Linked DNA regions of Cricetulus griseus. The protein of the gene in region 2 purifies or fractionates together with the protein of the main gene of each other region. This does not show direct contact. Links are inferred from orthologs where the notes say so. Each region holds a gene or a part of one and is shown on either strand. Other genes may lie near its edges.

The links.
Region 1: the proteins of Mlf1 (region 2) and dnaJ homolog subfamily B member 6 purify together in Homo sapiens (affinity purification with mass spectrometry; 3 studies listed by BioGRID and IntAct, counting the BioPlex papers as one, with this or other methods). This does not show direct contact. The link is inferred for Cricetulus griseus from reciprocal best matches to the Homo sapiens genes MLF1 and DNAJB6.

The regions. Positions count from the first base shown.
Region 1 is NC_048601.1:92,979,842-92,984,200, forward strand, and holds the start of dnaJ homolog subfamily B member 6, read right to left. Parts: upstream 3,006-4,359; 5' UTR 2,849-3,005; intron 1,871-2,848; exon of another isoform or gene 1,512-1,870; intron 1-1,511. UniProt on the Homo sapiens protein: Has a stimulatory effect on the ATPase activity of HSP70 in a dose-dependent and time-dependent manner and hence acts as a co-chaperone of HSP70. Plays an indispensable role in the organization of KRT8/KRT18 filaments.
Region 2 is NW_023276806.1:85,662,933-85,666,305, forward strand, and holds part of Mlf1 (myeloid leukemia factor 1), read right to left. Parts: intron 1,423-3,373; coding exon 1,284-1,422; intron 1-1,283. UniProt on the Homo sapiens protein: Involved in lineage commitment of primary hemopoietic progenitors by restricting erythroid formation and enhancing myeloid formation.

The DNA.
Region 1 (4,359 bases), on a different chromosome or scaffold from region 2:
TAACCCAAATCTCATACACCTAATGCTGATACCAGTAAGAAAAAAATGCATAGTTTGTTTTGGTTATTTGAGATAGGGTTTCTCTGTGTAGGTCTGGCTGTCCTGAAACTCGCTCTGTAGACCAGAATAGCCTCCAATCCACACCATCCCCCCCACCCACACTACAATTAAAGGCAGTTTTTCTTTCTGTTTTGTTTTTTGTCAGGGTCTCTCTATGTAGACCTTACTGACCTCAAACTCTGGAGACTAGCCTGTCTCTGCCTCAAGAAATGATTTCTTTCTTTTTTTCCAAGATGGTTTCTCTGTGTTTGCCCTGGCTGTCCTGAACTCCATCAGTAAAACCAAACTGGCCTTAAACTAGAAACCATCCTGCCTGTTTGTCCCAGTGCTGGAATGAAAGGTGTGTGCCAGCTGGGCATTGGTGGCGCACGCCTTTAATCCCAGCACTCAGGAGGCAGAGGCAGGCGGGTCTCTGAGTTCGAGGCCAGCTTCTCCAAAGCTACACAGAGAAACCCTGTCGGGGGTGGGGGTGGGGGGTGGGGATGGGGGGTGGGGGGGGTGCCACCGCCAGTGTCCACCCTAAAACTCGGTGATATGATTCCATCTTTCACTTCTCCAGGAGGCAGGAACTTGATCTACAGAGCAAGTTCCAGGACAGCCAGCACTATTACACAGAGGAGACTTGTCTCAGAGACAAAAAGAGGCCAACTTCTCAAGCTGTGGAGCTGGGTCAACTGGCCGAATAATTTGGTCGCACAAGTCTGACAACTTGAGTTCCACCCTAGTAATCCATGAAAGGAGGAGAACTGACTCCAAAAGTTGTACTCTGGGCCAGGCATGGTTGAACACTACAGGCAGACACAGGTGGATCTGTGAACTCCAGACTAGCCTAATCTACATACCAAGTTCTAAGCCAGCTAGAGCTAAAAAAAAAAAAAAATGAACCCTGTACCCAAAAGAAAATGAAGAGGACAGAAAAAAAAAACGGGGTGGGGGGTGGGGGAGAGAGACACAAAACAACAACTTAATCCCAGCACTCGGGAGGCAGAGTCAAACTGACCACTGATTTCCAGAGCTACAAGTGAGAGACTAAAATCTAAAAAACAAAAAAGAATTAATTCAGATATGGTACTGTAGAGCTATATAAATGCAGAGGGTTGGAACTAGCAGAAGAGAGACTGATGGATGGAGGATTCCCACATGTGTGCTGTAACACTCGCTTCATAACCACACAAAGTGGGAGCTAACTTCTTAGCGGGGTGTGGTGAGGCACCCCCTTAGTTCCAGCACTGGGGAGGCAGAGGCAGGCAAATCTCAAGAGTTCAATACAGAGTGAGTTCCAGTACAGCCTAGGGCTACACAGAACTCCTGTCTCAAAAAAGCAAAACACAATGCCAACTTCTTCAAAAAGCAAACACATGAAAAGCCAAAATTTCCAAAGTCTGCTGTGGAAAAAGTGATGGGAAGAGAAATCACAAACATTTCTTCCTTTCTATCAAATCAACCCGTACCTACACAAAGGCAGCATATTTCTTCCCAGATTTCTTATTTCTTCTAATTCCAAAGGTCCACTCGCAGTTCACGGCAAGTGTCTGCACTGATCACTGGCGGCGTAGTAATCACACACCGGAGGGCAATTCCCCCTGTGGTGGGAATTGCCAAAGAACTTCCCAAAGAGAGTCCCGTAACAGATGTGCTCAATTACTTCACGACCAACGTTCAACGACTAGGATGCATTTTCGTTAGGGCCGTTCCCTTCTTGGCTGCTTAAGTCTAGTTTTTCTACTAAAGTAGCTGGCTTTTAGTAGCCATCACTCCCCTAGCAAGCAGTAAGTACGGAGTTCAATTCCCAGGATTGCAGGGCCTAGAAAGGGGGATACAGTGGACTTACTAGCCATAAAACCTGACCACAAATCTATGGTTCAAATAAAGACATTAATAAAAACAAAGTGAGTGCATTGGACCTACACTCTCCACCTGCTTGGGCGTGCCTGAGAAAGTGGGACCATCCCCTCCGTTCCCTTTCGACAATTCACACACAACTTCGGTAAACAAGTTTTAAAATGTCTAACAATTCATTCTATAAAATAAAAACCGCCAGCCCCCCCCCCCAGTTTTTTGTTTTTGTTTTGTTTTGTTTTCAGGACAATCTTAAGGCTTGCAGCGTAGGGTTCCCTTTTCCACAGGACCGAAGCGAATTAAGACTTAATGTAAACTTCAGTTACATAAACTTTTAGTTACATAAACCCACAGCGAGGCACCCTGGAAGGCTAACAGCAAACGGGTTTTGAAAGTAAACGGCGCCCAGTCAGGTCGCCTAGCAAAACTTCCCAACAGTCCTGGGCCGGGAGAGCCCGGCCGGCAGCCTGAGCCCGTGAGCGCGCCTCCCCGGCGAGCCCCGCTCCTCTTCGCCTGCCACCTGACCCCCTCGCTTGCAGAATGCACTGGGGACGCCAGGACAGGGTGACACCGGCCTCGCCGCCTCCCGCGGCCCTGTGGCGGAGCTCGCGCGTGCCGGGCCCAACCGCCACTACAGCCCCGGGAGGCAGGGAGCGGAGCCCGGCCGGGGCCGGCTAGGCCTGAGCGGACCGGCACGGCCTTCTCCACCGAGCCGGTCTAGACCCGGCCCACGCCAGGAAAGCCCCAGGCCTCGGGCCGCGACGCCGGGCCGCCGCTCCGACTGGAGCCCGCCCGTCCGGCCCTGGCGAGCGGCCCCCCGTCGGGCCGGCGTCCCCGCGGCCGTGTGTGTGTGTGTAGGCGCCGAGCAGGTCACCCTACCCGCGCCAGCCGACGGCCCGCCCCGCCCGCGCAGTGGACCCTGCCGTCCGCCCGGTCCGCAGCCCCTCACCGAGGACGCGGCGGCCGGCGAGGGGGGGAAGTCGGGCGGCTGGTCTCCTCGCGGCTCTGGCACAGCTGCGCTGGCGGCGGTGGCGGCGTCTCCTCGCGCTTTCCTTTCTCTCCTTTTCTCCAACAACAAACAGGAAGTGCGTCATGCGGTGGCGGCGCGGCGACGTCCACTTCCGCCCGGTCCTGACGCCACGCATGCGCAGCAGCGGTTACCGGCTCGGGCTCGTGCCGGATTCGAAAGCGCCCCCTTCGCACTCGGAAGAACCTGGCAGCCTTGGTCGCGGATTCCGTGGAGTCGCTAAGGAGGAAGTCGAGAAAGCAGAACGAGCGGGAAGCGCCACCCTGCGCTAACCCTCGGTTTGGAGACCTCCGGAAGCCGGCGGCGACTCCCGGGCGAGCCTGCCTGACTGGCCCCGGGGCCTGCGGTTGCCCGGAAGCAGACTGGGAGGAAGGACGCTCACGGCCTCTGTGGAAACTGACCCATAAAGTTCGCAGATAGCGAGCGACCAGATAGATAGCTTCGTGTGACTCACGCTCTGTGGACGTGGAGTTGTAGTCATGAGGTTTGGAGGAAAGGCTCGCACACTTGAGGCTCTGCCAGGCCGACAAGCAGCCCCGATTTAGGAGATCCTCCTTGGTGTCCCTGTCCCCAAACTTCATCACTTATTTGGAGCAGGAGAGACCCGGTCATCACCAGCATGGAATGCCAATAGAATCCACTGTCTGATTTTCAACGACCTTCTCACCACAAAGGATGTTTTTCCCCTGTTCTTTTAACCCCCTTTGGCTTTCCGTTGAATGAAATCTTTTTCCCAAATGTTAAACATTGACCCCTCCAAGGCCCAGCACAGGCTAACCGAACATTGTACCCGAGGGCCCAAACCCGCCCTCTTTTAAGATGAGGCGCCTCTTGAGTTTCAACCTCTGACCTTGAACTTTCCAGCTCAAAACGGTTAAGTCCCTGGAATTGCAGGTTTTGTTTTACAAACCTCCACCAGGCTCAGTTTACCCGAGATGCTGGACAGAAGGCATTTTGCACATTTCTTCTGCTCAGTAATAAGAAACAGCAGTTTCAGTGGGGCTTCCCCAAGTGTGGCTCATCTACCTAAAGGCTCAACCTCCGAAACTAAGACCTTAGCCTTAGGGACTAAGGTCAATACCACATTCAGTCTGCCCTGACTCTAAGGGTCCCGTGCTCTGGCTGATTCCTCTCAGTTGCCCACACCCTCTGCGCATCTCCCCGGTGGAGAAGTTATAAGCTTCTAACGCTAACAAGAGTTCTGAATATTGATGTTCATGTGCTGTCCTCCTGAGCACAATATCGTATATACTTTTCTTTTGTTAATGTGCCTACTGCACATCTATTTAATAGACTTGCTAGATAAAAATTACAACAGGTCGTCCGGCAGTGGTGTCGCACGCCTTCAGTCCCCACTCTCGGGAGGCAGAGGCAGGTGGATCTCTGTGAGTTCGAGAACAGCCTGGTCTACAAGAGCTAGCTCCAAAGCCACA
Region 2 (3,373 bases):
TCTCTGTATTGCTTTGGAGGCTGTTCTGGAACTCGATCTGTAGACCAGGCTGGCCTCAAACTCACAGAGATTCACTTGCCTCTGCCTCTGATTGCTGGAATTAAAGGCATGCACCACCACCACCCAGCTAGAGTGGATTTCTGTTTCCAGGGCTGTTGAAGTTTCTCGCAAGAACTTAAATTAACTTCAGAATATGTACTAAATTTATAAAAGCACCATAAATTTTCATATGTGGTTTCAATAAATTTGTTTTTCCCTGTTATTCCAAAAGCAATTTCAAAGAAGATAAAAGTTTTTGTAAAATATATCTAAATGCACATATCTAGTGCACATAAAATACCATATTTCATGAAATACTTACATAATACTTTTGCATACTGTGAAAGTATTTAAAATTCATTAATAATTAAATGCTGGATTTTGACTTGGTAAGGAAGTTAAGTTTTCTAAATACAATCCTTTCCTTTTATAGTGTCTATATAAATATCTTAACCTGGTGTGACATGTATGACTTTGAATATTCACATTAGGAGTTGTATCACAAGATAACTACATCACAGTATATAAAATTTCTTAAGGATTTTTATCTTCTATTTTTGCCCTGATGATTAAGAATAGTTCTAAAATAGTATTTATTTGCTTTTAGAAACAAAATTTTGATTTACATGGAGTACTTAAGACTCAATATAAAGTTGTTACTTTTTTCCTAAAAGATACTGTAGAGGCCAGGTGTTGGTGGCACACACCTTTAATCCCAGCACTGGGGAGGCAGAGGCAGGAGGATCTCTGTGAGTTCAAGGCCAGCCTAGTCTACAGAGTGAGTGCCAGAATAGACTCCAAAGCTACACAGAGAAACCCTGTCTCAAAAAATAAAACAAACAAACAAAAAGATTCTGTAGATACAACTTAAATATTCTTAAGAACCTGATAAGAGGTAGTTACATAAAATTGTTGTTGTATGTTTGTGGGGGTGGGGTAAGAATACATGAGTGAGTAGGTTCATGTTCATGTGCACTTGTACAGGTCATAAAGATTTTTGGTTACCATTCTTTAGGTTATGACTCAAATGATAGGCAAGGCTGGTTGGCCAGTGAGACTCAGGGATCTGGATTACAAGTGCATGCTACTCTGTCTGGCTATTTTTTTAAACACAGGTTTTGGTGATCAAACTCAGGTCCTTGAGATTACATGAGATTACCTTTACTGAATGAGCTATCTCCCCAACACACAGTACATAACTTTTAAATACCCTTTAAGAGCACACTGTTAGAAACAACTTTTACCTCCTTTTGAGTTCTCGTGGCCCTGAATTATCATGACCCACACTTCGAATTCTAGTGTTTTCTAGATTGCATGGTCGTCCACTAGGCTTGAACTTCAAAACTTCACTTTTCCACTCATTATCAAAAGAATGAGCATCACCTATATAAAATGTCAAAATAAAGGGAACAAGTATTTAGGTCTCTACTGTCAGCATCACCTTGGGTCACCACACATTTCATGTAGTCTAATGTTACAACAGAGGCAGGATGCATCTGCAATATTTCCTTTCTTGTTGCTCTCCTAAGGACTATCTGGTTATGGTAAATATGGTTTTTCACTTATCTTCTTGATTATCCTATTATTCTATGTGGATTGGATGAATCAAGTACACTCATTTACGAACTTTCCTCTTGAATCATCTCAAAATGATCATGATGTCCCATGTTCTTGGACAATCTTTCAGTAGGTTGCATTTCTATTCACTTCTTCATGATCCTAACTTGCCTTCTTAAGCTTGTTGTCAATTTCCGAACACTATTAATTTCTGATGTCATGAAGTAGATAAGCTAATTTCTATTAAAATAACAAACACATAGATGATTGTTCTTGTTCTTTTAGATTATCTTTATAAAAATATGTTAAACTTATCTTTCCAATATATTGATACTTAGGGTATATATATATATATATATATATATATATGTACATATGATATGTGTGTGGGTATGCAAGTGCTGGTGCCCTTGGAAGTCAGAGGCATCTCTTTGGAACTGTAGTTATAGGTAATTGTGAGCCACCTGATGATGTAACAACCCGCATAGGTTGGCCCTGAACCCTAAATAGGGCTGGAGAGGGAACAAAGAAATCACACACACACACACACACACACACACACACACACACACACACACACACACCACAGAGAGAGAAGAGAGAGAGAGAGAGAGAGAGAGAGAGAGAGAGAGAGAGAGAGAGAGAGAGAGAGAGAGAGAGAGAAGCTGGGTTCAGGTAGGCTGTAAGCACTTTGCTTGAGTGGCACCAACTACACCCAGTCAACAACCTGGAACCTTTTACTGAGCATCAGAGTGTGTGTGTGTGTGCGTGTGTGTGTGTGTGTGTGTGTGTGTGTGTGCGTGCGTGCGTGCGTGCGCGTGCGTGCGTGCGTGCGTGCGTGTGTGTGTGTGTGTGTGTGTGTGTGTAGGAGGAAGCTGAAGTTGCTATTTTTTGTACACACTGATTAATCCTCTGTAAACATTCACACTTGGACGAGAAGAAGAAGGCTTTGTCAATTCCTAGGCTGAACCACTGGGGAATGCCTTAGGCCAATTTCTCATGGGTCTGAGGCCTTGGTCCTTGTCATGGCTGTGTCTACATCAATGATATACAATCATTTAGGACTTCATTCACTCAGGCCTTCCTCTGCTCCCTATATCCTGACAATGGGAATTGAACTCAAGTGCTTTGGAGGAGAAATATGTGCTATTAACCACTAATCATCTCTCTAGGCACCTCTATATATTTTAATAAGATCATAATTACTATAGTTAAAAAAAGCTCAAGTTATTTGGCTTTCATTTTATTGCATAACCAACCATGTAGGGCCCTGGGGGTTAAACTTAAGTTGTTAGGTTAGGTAATAAGTGCATATCTTATCCCCTGAGCCATCCCACCAGCCCATAATATTAGTTTTTATCTAATTAAAAAAACTTCTTTTCTCTGAAATGATACATTAAGCTCTTTACCATGATAAAACATTATTCAAAGTATTTCCTGAAAATATGAAATAAATGTAGTGACATTTCAATAATTTTAATTTCAATTAAAACATAAAAGGTTGATTATTAATATTTAGACAAAATCTTTTAAATTATGATCTATTTACAAACTTTTAGGTAACAGAATACTTTTGAAAAATAATAGGTGTTTGTGGTTACAATGGTAAGATAAATTGAGCATAGTATGAACAAAATAGCAAAATATCAATTTGAAAAAACATGTTTATGCATAAAACTATTAAAAAATTTATCAAAACTTGAGTGTTATTTTGGGACTGGTTTGAACTGATTTTTATTTGTTTCTTTAAACTTTTTAAGTATGTTTCTTGACAATC